Elephas maximus indicus: one gene and its partner. The main gene of each other region encodes a partner of the protein of the gene in region 2 in a complex. Links are inferred from orthologs where the notes say so. Each region holds a gene or a part of one and is shown on either strand. Other genes may lie near its edges.

What was found. The genes of interacting proteins can lie anywhere in the genome.
Region 1: the proteins of CCNA2 (region 2) and CDKN1B are in contact, whole or in part, in a crystal structure (PDB 1JSU), measured with the Homo sapiens proteins. The link is inferred for Elephas maximus indicus from reciprocal best matches to the Homo sapiens genes CCNA2 and CDKN1B. Residues at the interface, in NP_001228.2 of Homo sapiens: Met210, Ile213, Leu214, Asp216, Trp217, Glu220, Val221, Glu224, Met246, Arg250, Gly251, Lys252, Leu253, Gln254, Leu255, Tyr280, Ile281, Thr282, Asp283, Thr285, Tyr286, Thr287, Gln290, Arg293, Met294, His296, Leu297, Lys300; in NP_004055.1 of Homo sapiens: Lys25, Pro26, Ser27, Ala28, Cys29, Arg30, Asn31, Leu32, Phe33, Gly34, Val36, His38, Leu41, Thr42, Asp44, Leu45, Glu46, His48, Cys49, Asp51.

Annotation. Positions count from the first base shown.
Region 1 is NC_064822.1:71,307,784-71,314,700, forward strand, and holds the start of CDKN1B (cyclin-dependent kinase inhibitor 1B), read left to right. Parts: upstream 1-3,905; 5' UTR 3,906-4,202; coding exon 4,203-4,677; intron 4,678-5,195; coding exon 5,196-5,317; 3' UTR 5,318-5,325; intron 5,326-6,917. UniProt on the Homo sapiens protein: Important regulator of cell cycle progression. Inhibits the kinase activity of CDK2 bound to cyclin A, but has little inhibitory activity on CDK2 bound to SPDYA. Involved in G1 arrest. Potent inhibitor of cyclin E- and cyclin A-CDK2 complexes.
Region 2 is NC_064823.1:25,383,318-25,390,732, reverse strand, and holds the start of CCNA2 (cyclin-A2), read right to left. Parts: upstream 3,013-7,415; coding exon 2,800-3,012; intron 2,125-2,799; coding exon 1,881-2,124; intron 585-1,880; coding exon 472-584; intron 334-471; coding exon 110-333; intron 1-109. Other genes in the region: BBS7 (Bardet-Biedl syndrome 7 protein), read right to left, coding at 6,012-6,145. UniProt on the Homo sapiens protein: Cyclin which controls both the G1/S and the G2/M transition phases of the cell cycle. Functions through the formation of specific serine/threonine protein kinase holoenzyme complexes with the cyclin-dependent protein kinases CDK1 or CDK2.

The DNA of each region.
Region 1 (6,917 bases), on a different chromosome or scaffold from region 2:
ACCTGGCTTTCCCTTTCCCTTGATCAGTGTTTCTCCACAGGACTCGTCACTTTCTTCCTAGTGCATATTTTACTCATTTGTTGCATTTATTTTCTGTCTCCTCTCTCCTCACTAGGACATAAGCTACATTCTAGTTTTTATTTGTTCACTTCTGTATCCCCAGAGCCTAGGATAATGCCTGGCTGGGTAGGCATTCAAAAAATATTTGTTGAAAGAAAGAACGAACAAATTAATAAAAAGTTTTCCATAAATATTTGTTAAATTGATTTAAAAGATTTAAGATACAGATGACTGTGAAATTTCCAAATTCTTTACAAATATGGCAAAAAAAAAAAAAAAGACAGGGAATGGTGATATTGAGTGAAAGCTACCTCATTATAAACATCCTTGAGGAAGGATTAAAATTATGTATTTATGGTGGAAGGGGCAACCGGGCAAGGAAACATGCACCATCAGAGAAATATTTGGGGCTACGTAATTTCCTCGTGAGAGGGCTCCATCTGGGAGCAGGGCTAACACAGCCCCACCACCTCATTTTGACACTTGTCTACTCACAGGTGTTTTAAGTTATTTTGGTCTTTGCCTCACTCCTCAGAACATGAAAGACAGACATCTGGCCTTGGCTATGTGAGACTTCTCAGCTCTAACTAGGAAACCACCAGAAGTGAAAACAACAACAAAAACACCACACACGACTAGATCCTGGGTCTTGGGGAAGCAGAGCCCATTTCTGAGCAGTGTGAGTGGAACTCTTTTTTACTCAGGCTCCGCCTTTGCACTGTTTATCTGAAAAATTTCTCCCTGGCTTACTCTTCTGCAGCCACCTACTTTCCACAGGAGCATGGCGCTCTGATCTCCACGTTCTCTCTTCCCTCGGGGACTCCATAGTATTTTTTTCACGCTTCGCTGATACTACAGCAGACGCCTGCCTTCTCATTATTTGCTGTACAGATCTCCGGTGCCTTGACTGTAAACAAAACACTTTAGATCATAGCAAGGTCATGTAAGCACAGCCCTTCTGCTGGCAGCCAGACTTCTTAAGGTGGCTTCACCGTGGCTCGTTTATTTCTCAAGAGTAACAAAGCAACAAAATGGTGCTCCCACATAGTAACTGAAGATTCAGTGTGTAGGGGATAGAAGTATTCATTTTCTACTTTTATACAAAATGTTAATCCCATTATAAAATTAAACTTCTGTGACAAGCTAGTACTCTAGAATTTCTCCATTCATGTATGTAGTAGTTTGTAGTTATTATTCACATATACGCATACATAATATAAAATTCCTCTGTAGTCTAGCAGAGATTTAAGAATTTGGGCAAAAACACCTTATTTCAGGGCTAGGATATAAATTAAGGTCGTGAAATCTATCTTAACTTTCCTGCCCCCCTTCCTAACCTAACAACTTAGTGGGGCATTAAACGTAGACAATTAAAGAGGATGAGACCTCCTGCTTTGATCCTAGGTGAACTCTTTTCTGTCAGCCAGGTAGCAAGCCCTGACTTTGAAACCATTCTGTACACTGTATTCCCTCACTGCTCCCTGGGTGCCACCTCTGTCCTTTTGGAATCTGCGTTTAGTTGAACTAGTTGATAGTGATATTAAAGGCCAGTAATGGCAACATTTAAATATCAGTGACCACAGACCACGTCAAGGAAACATCTGCAAGCAGTCCCGGGCCTGGGAAGGAGCCGTTTTGAACCACGAGTAGGAAAGGAAGGCCTGTAGCACAAGCTAATCCAGACAAAAACTTGAACCAGTTGGAACCATCAGGAAGGAAAACCCACTGCCACCGAGTCTATTCTGACTCAGCAACCATATAGGACAGAGTAGAACTGCCCCATAGAGTTTCCAAGGAGTGCCTGGTAGATTTGAACTACTAACCTTTTGGTTAGCAGCCATAGCTCTTAACCACTACACCACCAGGGTTTCCATCAGGAAGGAAAGGAACAGAAAACGAATCAGATTGTGAGATAGGAGACCTGTGTCTAGTCCTGGCTCTGCTACCAACTGAATGTGTGTCCCTGGACAGGAAACTTTTCTGAGCCTCAATTTTCTCAGTGGTAAAACGAGAAGGTTGAACCACAGGGTCCCCAGGGACCCTCCCCACACTAACATTCCAGAGTGTATACAGAGGACAAATAAGACGTGGTTGTGAAAGCAAGTTAAAAATCAAACTCATCGATAGCATAGGTGCATGAGAACACATTGCTGCTGTGCAATGTTGGAACCAAACCAAAAACCCACTGCTGTGGAGTGATTCCGATTCATAGCGGCCCTGTGTTAGAAATGGAGGTTAATTTCCAGTAAAATTTATTTACTTTGGTCCAAGGAAGATTATGTGTATTGGGAGTGGGACTGGGAAGGCAGTTAAAGACCCACTGAGCTATGACAACCCTGCCCACCCAGTTTTAACTTCCACCACCGAGCTGAAGACCAAACTGACTGATATGTTTCAATTTGCAGAGCGGAGAGGAGAAATGACCTAATCACGTCAGGCATGAGGACATGGTTGTGGTGGTTTTATAAATCATTTCATAACATAGACTTTGATTCTTAGGGGAAATATTTTCACCTTTCAACAGCTTGCAGTCCTCTGAAAGCAGCCAGTTGCATCTGAACGTAGTTTGGGTGTGTTGGAGCAGGAAGCCGGTGGGAGAGAAAGGTGGAGGAAGGAAGGAGCTGTTGCCTTTGGCGACTGGACTCAGGTAGAGGAAACTACTACAACCCGTGAAAGAATTGAAAAGTATAAAGAGAAGGAGGCGAGTTCCCACACGCAGTCAATGTCAGTGGCCTTAAGTGTACTGGGGAAGCAAGAACCTGGGCCAAGGGTGTAACCTCGGTTTTCAAAACTAAATGTATCTGAAACGGCTACAAAGTTTAAGGGACTTGGGCAAGCAGTCGAGCTTTTGATCTTTAGATTCTTTTCCAATGCGTGAGAGCTTGGGTTCAGAACACAGTATGAAGGCTGCGCCTGGCTACCTTATAGAAAGACATTAGCCCTGGCTTTTCCCCTTAACTTCTGGGTTAAGCCTGAGCTAACCGTTGCCCACCCCCTGTGGCACTCTGACATGGAGGCAGGGATGGGGTGCGCGGGGAGGGGGGTGGTCCTGGCCCTCGGCAAAGGTTTCCTGACCTCCTCCGCAGAGCACGAGGTGGGGGCCACTGCCTCGAGCCCAGAAGAAGCCTCAGCTCGCACCATCTGCCTCCGCCCTCCACTCCCCCGCGCCTCCGGCTCGGCGAGTGCAGGGAAAACAAGATCGCCACCGAGGCTCAAAACGTTGAGAGGAGAGCAACATTACAGATCATCTGGTCCAGCCCCTTCGTTTCACCGGCCAGGAGCTGGAGGTCTGGGCTAACGAGCGGGCGGGCCAGCCAGCGCAGCGCGGGGACCAGTACCCATGGCCCCGCCTGCCCCGCCGCAGAGGCCCCTCCCCAGCTTCCCGGCCGTTTGGCTAGTTTGTTTGTCTTATTTTTAATTTCTCCGAGGCCAGCCAGAGCAGGTTTGCTGGCAGCAGTACACCTCCAGCAATCACGGGACCAGCCAATCTCCTCCTTGCGCTCTCGGAGTCGGCGCGCTCTGGAAGGCGGAGAGGCGGCGGAACCGCGCCGGGGCCACCTTAAGGCCGCGCTCGCCAGCCTCAGCTGGGCGGCTCCCGGCGCCGCAACCAATGGATCTCCTCCTCTGTTTAAATAGACTTGCGGTGTCAATCATTTTCTTCTTCGTCAGCCTCCCTTCCACCGCCATATTGGGCAACTAAAAAAAGGGGGCTCGCCTTTTCAGGGTGTTTTTCTCCCTTTCCCTTCTCCCCACTTTCTCTCCGCTCCGCGACTCTGACGCCGGCAAGGTTTGGAGAGCGGCTGGGTTCGCGGGACCCGCGGGCTAGCGGCAGCCGGGACTTGGCCTGGCCTTTCCGCCCCCTCCTCCTTCCTCCTCCCCTCCCCTCCCCGCCCTCCCGCTCGCCGGTACACTTGATCTGCGGAGACTTTCGGCTGCCTCTCCGGGGCTTCCCCTTACTCCCTCCCCCAGATCCAGCGCGCTCCTGAAGCTCGGGCACTTACTTGTTGGTGTTTGTTTCTCTTGGCTCCGAGGGCAGTCGCAGAGCTTCTAAAAGGGGGTTGGGTTGGGTCGGGGCGTTTTGTTTTGTTCGGTTTTGTTTTTTGAGAGAGCCAGAGAGGCGGTAGTAAAGACTCGAGAGGAAGATGTCAAACGTGCGAGTGTCTAACGGGAGCCCGAGCCTGGAGCGGATGGACGCCAGACAGGCGGAGTACCCTAAGCCCTCCGCCTGCAGAAACCTCTTCGGCCCGGTGAATCACGAAGAGTTAACTCGGGACTTGGAGAAGCACTGCAGAGACATGGAAGAGGCTAGCCAGCGCAAGTGGAATTTTGATTTTCAGAATCACAAGCCCCTGGAGGGGAAATACGAGTGGCAAGAGATGGAAAAGGGCAGCTTGCCCGAGTTTTACTACAGACCCCCGCGGCCCCCCAAAGGCGCATGCAAGGTACCGGCGCAAGAGAGCCAGGATGTCAACGGGAGCCGTCAGGCGGTGCCTTTAATAGGGTCTCAGGCAAACTCAGAGGACACACATTTGGTAGACCAAAAGACTGAAACATCAGACAGCCAGACGGGGTTAGCGGAGCAGTGCCCTGGGATACGGAAGAGACCTGCAACAGACGGTAATGACCTTTTCAAACGTATATGCCTGTCTGGGGCAGCGCTTTGCTTGCTTGAGGGTCTTAAATTTAGCTCTTTGTACCGTATTCTGATCTAGATTTTGGGAGCGAACTTTATTAATCCTGGGCTGTGAATGCTACCTGCTGACTGCTTGTTTGTTTACGCTTTTTAAACCAGAATCCAGCGATGGGGTAATATCTGATATTTTCACTAACTTAAAACATCGCAGTTCCTTTTCCAGCCTTAGTTATGTGACAATGTTGAGATGTTTATCAACGGCCTTCCTCTACCCTGTGGAGAGAGCGATTTGGGGCGTAGAATACACTTTTTGTTACGTGAAAACAATCTGATTTTGTGCACTTAAAGGGCACTGTGATGAAGGATCCAGGATTGTGGGTGGAGGTAGTGGGTTTTTCATTCCCTGACTATGGGGTCAACTTGTCTGAGCCATTGTTTTTTCTAATAAAGATTGTGTGTGTGCTTTTTTTTTTTTTTTTTTGGAATTTCCCCTTGTCCTTAGATTCTTCTACTCAAAACAAAAGAGCCAACAGAACAGAAGAAAATGTTTCAGAAGGGTCCCCAAACGCAGGCTCAGTGGAGCAGACGCCCAAGAAGCCGAGCCTCAGAAGACGTCAAACATAAACCGCTTGGTGGGTTGATTACTAAGAGCAAACAACTGACACCCGAATGGGGCTGCAGGAACCCTGTGGGTCAGAAAACCCCAAGATACCTGATCTTCCTGGTTGCTGGCAGATAAGGAGCTCGTGGGTGTTTGTTTTTATTTTGTGAGGTCAAAAAAGTAGGAATGGGGAAACGTGGGGAATCACTGTGGGAATACTGTAATTCTTCAAAATCTACGTCCTGAGATAATTTTCCCTTAACACACTATACAGCTAGAACAAGTGTGCTAGGCAAGTACTTGTAGCCAAGACCCCATGAGTAGGAAGGTTATTTCCTTGTGAGTCCCACCAAAACATGCTGGGAACAATAGGTTCTTTCCTCATCTGAGTGAGAACTGGGGTAAGCCTCAGTCCCACTTCATGAGGACTCATTTCCCAGAGGTTCAGGTTGAGTCACTAACAGATTTTGAGGCCATACATTCAATGATTGGCTTTCAAATTTGAGGGGGGAAGTTAGGTACAAAAAGCTCACATTTGGTTAATCAAGTGATTAGAAATGTGAATAGGGTGGAATGTTGTGTTCTTTTCTTTTTACTGTTTTCATAGACTATCACTTATCATTATCTGGTTTCTGATAAATTTGGGGGAGAGAAGGAGCCTGCATATTTTTAAAAAAAAATCCCTAGTGAAAGCTCAAAAATACTAAAGTTCCTGTAGAATTCTGGTAACACCAAAGTTGCAAAGCAGAAGTTAAATGAACTCTGCCAGGGTAAGCAATCCAGGAACACGTCAGCATGTGTATGCTAATCATGCTATAACAGGACAATGTAGATATTTGTAGGGGAAATGGGTAGTACAGATCAGGGCTTGCCAAGGGTAGGTCTACCAGGCACAAGAGAAGTGGAGATTTTTCCATTTACTAAAATTTGATCACCATGTATAGCTAATTTGAATACTTTAGCACTCAAGTGGATTGGCTGTGCCTGATAATCAAACTGCATGTATTCTAGTAGTTTACAGGCTTCTTAAAAACGAGGACTGTTAACCCTTTTTTTTTTCCTCCAAAAAGCACACTTAAAGCCTAGCATTTAAAAAGATCATAGTAGATGTTGATATTAACTTTTTAAATCCTAGTTTATAAAATTTTTAAAATAAATTCCCACAAGGATTAAAGCGGGGTTCAGGTTTGTTGTGTTTTTAAAACATTATAATGTCATATGTATGACTTTTCCACACATGTATATATTTTTAGAGCTTATACAAAATGGCACTATAAAATCTCTCTATTATATACAGTTCTGTATGAAGTAGGAAAATTTTTCTTGAAGCAACCTTAACACATACAGCTCTTTTTGGTTTGTGACTTGTGGCTTTGCTCATTACATGAGCCGCTGTGAATCAGAACTACTGAATTCTGACCACATTCTGACATGCAGAGAGACATTCGTTAGTAAATGTTGCCAATTTAAAGAATCCTAGGAGTAGTAGTAAGGTCTGTTCAAAAGCATGTATGTGTATATTCTGTCTGTAAATAAGAGAATATTTATTTGTTCCTGAGTTTTTAAAAAAGATACTGATTGAATTTTCATTTGAAGGGCCTTTATAAATTATATTTAGTTTTT
Region 2 (7,415 bases):
TTTCTGACTCGTGTAGTATGTCAGAATGCCACACTGTTAAAAATCACATTTTTTCCCTACGCAGAGAGGTAGCCATCACTTTTATTCCAAAAAACCAAAATGGACTTACGAGGCTAGGAGCATAGCAGCAGTGCCCACAAGCTGAAGTTTTCCTCTCAATACGGACATCGATGAAAGGAACCTATCAATGTAGTTCACAGCCAAATACAGGGTCTCATTCTGTAGTTTATATTCTTCTCCTACTTCAACTAACCAGTCCACAAGGATAGCCCTCATACTGTTAGTGATGTCTGGTTGTTTCTTCATATAACCCACTTTAGGCTTACATTTAACCTGTTGAGAAAAGTTAGTATACTGTTAAATATACCTTACAGTAGTTCACTAGCAGTTAAAACACTAATTAACCTCTCCATTTCATTTAGCCACATGCAGTGATTAACAGTATACGACTGCACTCAAGAGAGCTTTTACCTCCATCTCCCTAAGGTATGTGTGAATGTCTTCATGATAGTCTGGTACTTCGTTAACATTCACTGGTTTTTCATCTTCTAATACAACTGATATGTCCATAGTATGTGGTGACTCTGGAGGAATTCAAAAGATATGATTAATTGTTTAATCTTCTATTTAATAGCTAAAAGTGACTGCCCTTGTCAAGAATGCTATGTTACCAAAACATTTCATCCAAGTAAAAGGGCTTCTCATGACAAAAGTACATGGATTTGCCAAAAGAGATTGCTAACCTGAATCTGATATATTCAAAGTACGATAAGGTAATAACTAGAAGCAAGACTAAATGGCGTTCATTAACAAGTGTGTTAATAAGGAAATTAGGATTGTTATGGGTACTTCAAACAGGTGGATTAACATGACAATCAACAAATGATTGATTTTTTTTGTAATTCAAATTATCTTTTGAGGCAAAGAATATCATCCATTACTCTTTTCAACTTCAAGGATCATTCTGAGGTAAGAAATTGTTACAAATCTTAAATAAAAATACACAGATTATTTCCAAAGGACTTCCCACTCCCTTCCCTAATCAATAGAACCACAACTAAAATGAGATTATATTCAATGACCTATCCAGTAACTCAATAACCCTGCAGAAAAGAAACACTACAAACTGTAGACAGAGCTGTCTGATGAAGCTACTCCATTTTGTATGTGGGTAAGTGCAAACAGGCATGGTACAACTACTGACACACAAGAAGACAATGTGCCTTTCTGGTATCTGATGATTACTCAGACTGGTGTTACAGCAACACAAAATTTCAGAGCTGGAAAAGATGTCAGACAACACAGTATTTAAGACTGCACTCTCACACAGCACTCTCTCAAGTGGTACGTATGAATCGAGTCACTGCCCTGGTGGCGTAGTAGTTAAGTACTACAGCTGCTAACCAAGAGGTAGGCAGTTTGAATCCACCATGCCTTCCTTGGAAGCTCCATGGGAGGCAATCCACTCCTTGGAAACTCTATGGGACAGTTCTTCTCTGTCCTATAGGGTCGCTAAGAGTCAGAAATCGACTTGACGGCAGTGGGTTTGGTTTTTTTTTTTTTTGGTTTCTTATGACTGCAACTGAAATCTATTCTCCCAACCAAGCAAACATTTCCAGGGTCAGACTATGTGACTGAAATGTAATTAAACTGATTGGTAGCGTACTGGAAGGAACACCTGATTAGGACTTGGGTCCTTTTGTAGGTCACTAGGTCATGTATTTGGTGTGATATTTGGGACAAGTCACACCATTTCTAAGCCTGTTACATTAAAGCTAACTATGTAGTAATGATCAGGTAAGATAATGTTTTAAAATATAAAATCTAGTCTATTTAATAATTATACTACCTTGATTCATACAGATCTCTTTAAAACTTACCGAAACTACCATCCATTGGATAATCGAGAGACCCCAGCGGTTTTCTTGTTCCAGGTAAAGTAACAGCTGAGTTAAAAGCCAGGGCATCTTCACACGCCGATTTTTTAGATTCAGCTGGTCTCTTCTGAGTCTTTTCTTCTTCTTCATCCACATGAATGGTGAATGCAGGCTGTTTACTGTTTGCCTTCCATGGAGCAACAGTGACACGCTCATCATTTACAGGAATATCCTTAAGAGGTGCAACCTAGAAAGAAAGAACTGTCTTTGAGCCTGTTAAATGGAGCTTTGCCTTTTTCCCCTTAAGGATCTCAGCTTGTGCTTTCACTCTCAAATATCTACCAGGAAAATTAAACTAGGGAAAAGTCCAGGCAAGAATAGTTTGAGTAGTCAAAGAGAGAAGGGATGTAAAAATTTGTCACAGGCAGAGTTGACACTAGGGTGGAGCAAACAGCAAATCCGGCTAAAATGGCGGGATTTACCAAAAGTATTTTCTTGTACCCTTTTCTAAAGTAGAAGCATTCTCTTAACCAGATGGGGAGGGGAAGGAGAGACCTGGTTGCTTCGCCCCGGAGCAGAGTAATGCCTGGGGTTAAAAGACAAGCGAAAGCATGAGCTGGGCAATGACGACATTCGCGTTGTAGGGCTTGGTCTGACCCCAAAATCTACAAAGATGACCCCAATAGATAGGAGATAAGTAGCACATGCAGTGTTGGCGGGGGTCATATGCTAAAATGAATGAGAGAATCTACCACCGTGGCATCCCACAAAGCGGAAAATCTGTGACCAAGGGGACTCCAGACTCGCGCCCTCCTAAAATACCCAAAGAATGCTTACTCGTCACCCTCTTCTGCCTGCTAAGCCCATGCTCGACCCTCGCCTGGCCCACCCTCCGACAGATACCTCGCGTGTCCTTCCTTACCCGTCGCGTCTTGGGTCTCTGCTGCGGCGCTGGACCCCGTGGGTTCCCCGCCTTGAGTACCGCCAGCCCGGCTCGAGTCCGGGGCTGCTGGGCGGGCTCCGCTTTTTCGGGGTCGATGTTCTCCTGGTCCTCTCGGAGGGCCGTCTGCTGTAGTGTTAGCAGCGCCGAGCCCGCCTCGTGGGCCGCAGGCCCTGGTGCAGAGTTGCCCAACATCACTGCTCCCCGGGGCAGGCGGCGGGATCAGCCTCCGGCGCCAAGCAGCGTGCACTCCGCCCCGCTGACCCGCGCGCAGACTCAGCCGAGGAATGCTGTAGCTGCCGCCGCTCGCCGCAGTCGGGGCCAGCCTGCCCACCTGCCCGCTCACCTGGCAGGGGCTGTGCGGGGCGGAGGAGGCTGCGAAAGGAGCAGGCAGGCACTGTCGGGCGTGGAGTACCAAGGACCTAGAACGCCCCGAGATAAAGCGAACAGCCCGCCGGAGCGGCGGCTGTTCATGCAGTTCAAGTATCCCGCGACTATTGAAATGGACCAATGAGAGCCGCAGAGGCCCGTGACGTCACTAGGGCGACAAAGTCGCAGTCAGCGCAGGCGGCAGTGATGGCAACTGAGCAGGGGTGGAGCGGAGAAACGTCGAACCGCCGCGGGAGGAAAAACGCCTGCGCGGTGAAGGCGGGAGCGGGGGAGACCTGAGTTTCTGATGACTTTAAACCGCACCACTGGGAGGTCTCTGTGCGCAAGGCTAAAGGCTGTCTATATGCATTCTAAAATTAACTGAGTTAAACTGTAGCAATTACTAGGGGGCCGTCCCAGCCTTTAGCCCTGGGACCTCCAGTTAACGTGGCTGACTTGTTTCCCGAGGTTCAAGATTTGACTTGGCCACTTACTGGCCAGGTAATCTTGGTCAAATTATTAAATGTCTCCAGTCTCAGTTTTCTTATGTGTTTATTGGAAGTAATACCTACACGGCATAGGACTGTCGTTAGGATTAAATGAAATACTGTGCATAAATTATGTAACACTGTGCACATAGTAATACTCAAGTGGCAGGATATAATGTCATGTTAGGACGCGGTGTTTATTCACAGTAGGCAGAACTGTGTCTTATGCTTTTTATTTTTTCCAAGAAAATACAATTTACTGTGCCGTCTTGAACTACTGATACATATAACAAGTAATAATGTACTACAAGAAATTCGACTGGACAGTCATTAATGCTTATACACTTTTCCCCAACCAGTAGCCTTTTATATAGAAGCAGCCAACAAAAAAACAATGAAATTCTAGTGACCTGGATGTTCCATTTAGAAATGAAAACTGTTTAATAAAAACAATGGCCTTACTAAAACAAAACTGTCTTAGCTATAATATGTGCCTTTAACAAATTCTCATATTTAATATACAAGACTTCCACATAACTAATAAATATAATGGTATGTAATTCAGAAGCATTGTTTTCTGACAAATTCATGAGTCTACACTTCTTGAAAACAGAAAAATAGCCTTTTTACCATTATAATCTGTCCTTTTAAAGCAGACTGTTAAATAAAATAAAACCAAACTCATTGCCATCAATTCCAACTCATATTGACAATATTCCCCTGAAAATGAATAAATTTACATTAAGATTAATGAACAAAAAAACTGTGTTCTTAAAATATTTTCGTTTCATATAGGATAAAAAGGAAACTAGTGATACTAGTGCAGGAAAATCCAAGAAGCTATCACTATTTTTGCACTCCTCCTGTGTTGCAACTTGTATAGCTTGACTGCTCACAGCACTTGTAGTTAAGATCTCTCTCATCTGTGTAAGCTGCTCATTTCCCTGACCGAAATTTACAGCACTGAGACAACTAAGGCATTTTACAAGCTGCAGCATGGGTCACAAAATGTTACCGAACAAGACAGAAATCACTATAAAGCAATCTCAGCTCCTACAAAAAATAACTGGTAGTTTATTTCCGCTTGTTGACAACATACATTGTAATTGGGACACAAAGCAGGTGCCAGAAACTGGGTTCTGGTCCCAGCTTTACAAATTAATAGCATGTCCTCTTAACCTCATGTCACTTAACCTCACCAACAATTGGTTTTCTTACAAGCTTTGACAAACTTACAGGACTGATGCGAAGATGATATGAGGTAAGGTACGCAAATGCATTCTGAAAACTGTAAAGCAGTTTACACATAAATGTATGTGTGTGGGTGTGGGTGGGTGTGGGTGGGTGGGTGGGTGGGTGGCTAGTAAGGAAACCCTGGTGGTGTAGTGGTTAAGAGCTATGGCTGCTAACCAAAAGGTTGGCAGTTCGAATCCACCAGGTGCTCCTTGGAAACGTTATGGGGCAGTTCTACTCTGTCCTATAGGGTCGCTATGAGTCGGAATGGACTTGACGGCAATGAAAGTGGTTTTTGGTTTTGGTAGCTTGTAAAACATTTGAATATATTTTGATTTTCCAAATATTTCTCTATTTAAAAATCAAAACATCTAATTACTAAAAATGCATTAAAATCCCTTGTACTTACTCCACTTTTTTTTTTTTTTTAATACTTGAGTTTCAGTGAAAGTTTATACAGCAAGTTAGGTTCCCATTTTGATAATTTCCGCACAAATTGTTCAGTGACATTAGTTACATTTATCATAACGCTAATATTCTTTGTGTTCTGTTTGTTCTATTTCCAGTACTCTAGTTTCCCTGGCCCCTTATCTTCCCGTCTTAGTTTTGTGTAATTGTTGACCTTTTAATCTCATTCTGATGGTTTTTAAGTAGAGCAGCAATCTTATGTAATATCCTTTGTGTGCCACTCTGCTATTTCACTAAAGGGTGATCTCGGGATAGGCTCTGTTCTAGGTTTAAAGAGTGTCTCAGGGTGATAATCTCAGGGAGTCCTCTGCTCTCCACTGTTCCAGTTTGTCTGGCTTTTTTTAAAATAAGAATTTGAGTTCTGCTCCACATTTTTCTCCCATTCTAGCTGGGACCATCTATTGTGACCCTGATCAAAACGGTCATCCACTTGTTTTAAATATAAAAATTCTCTTTATTTTTAAAAAGTTCTACCATCAAAGCAAATAGAAGCATTATTTAAAGTCATATCTGAAATATTTTTAGATGTCATCAAAAAGCATTTGAAATAAAAGTATATACATTTAGTTTATAATTCTATGTTAGTATTTTCCTTTTAAACAGACCACTTCTTTGGGACTTTACCTTGATTATATTTCAAGCAGCATCAAAGAAAGCAATCAATGCATTTTGGTCATAACTGTCCAGAATCTCCAGAAGAAGAGGTACTTTGGTTTTCACATTGGTGCCTTTGAATTTGAACTTATCTATGAAAAGATCAGTGATCATGCCTAGAAAGAACAACGTGAATTTACTGTCATCAATTAGTTCCTTTTAATGAAACAATTTAATGAAAGTAAGTGCTTGAGAATCCATTTCTAAGTACCTGTAATTTCATTATTTAATATACACAAACCTTTTTAGAAGGTTCGATGCTTATAAAAATATATGTATTTTGGGGGAATTTTAAGGCCAGTTTCAGGACATAAATTAGCTAATTAGCTAATAAACATCTTTAACAACTGGTTAAAAGATATTAATTTCAGACAATCAAATGCTATTTCTGAACTGATACTAGTATATATAACATCATGAAAGTGGTTTATTTTTCCCACTAAGAAGACCATTTTGAAATAGTGTAGGCAGATTCTGTTCTTAATAGCTTTATCTAAATTAAGACATTCCATTTCTGTGTTGACTATTCTTGGGATTTGACTAGAAGGCAAATAAATAGTTTTAGGGTTCAAAGGTCTGGGCAAATTATTTCACCTTTGAGTTTCCTCACATGTGAAATGGTAATAATTCGAGCTGTCAATTATATATCCAAAACCCTTGATGCCAGATGTGTTTCAGAATTTTTCATATTTTAGGAAGATAACAGAAGACATATACCATATATAACAAAATACCCCCAAAGTATTATGAGCAAATGGCAGCATCTGGTAACAAAACATGATATTTCTACACCAAAATATATGGGTGAATAATCACACTAAGTGTGTTATAGATTGAATCGTGTCTACCCAAAATACCTGTTGTCATCCTAACCCTTTATGCCCGGTGGATGTAATCCTGTTTGAAAATAGGGTTCCTTGTATGTTAATGAAACCACATCAATGTAGAGTGTATCCTAAACCTAATCACAGCTGAGTTTTAAAAAGAGTAGATTAGACACAGATGTGTGCACATGGTGGGGGGGGGCGGTGGTAGGAAGCCAGACAGACACCAGTGAGGGCCACCTATAAGCCAAGACCAAGGAAGGCTAGGGATTACCTATAAGGAAGGAATCCCTATGGCTGAGGTCTTGATTTGGACTTTTAGCCTCCAGAACTAAAAGTTTAAATTTAAACTAAATTTAAATAAATATCTGTTCTTCAATGCTACCTGCTTGTGGTATTTCTGTTACAGCAATACTAAGTAAGACAGTGGAATAAATGAAGACTTTTATACTTAGCTTCATGTCAGTTTAAGTCAGGTTTTGTCATTAAATAAATTCAGATCATGTCAGATTTTGCTGTCAAATGGTTCATGAAAAAAGCTTTGTTTTTCAGGGCTTTCTGC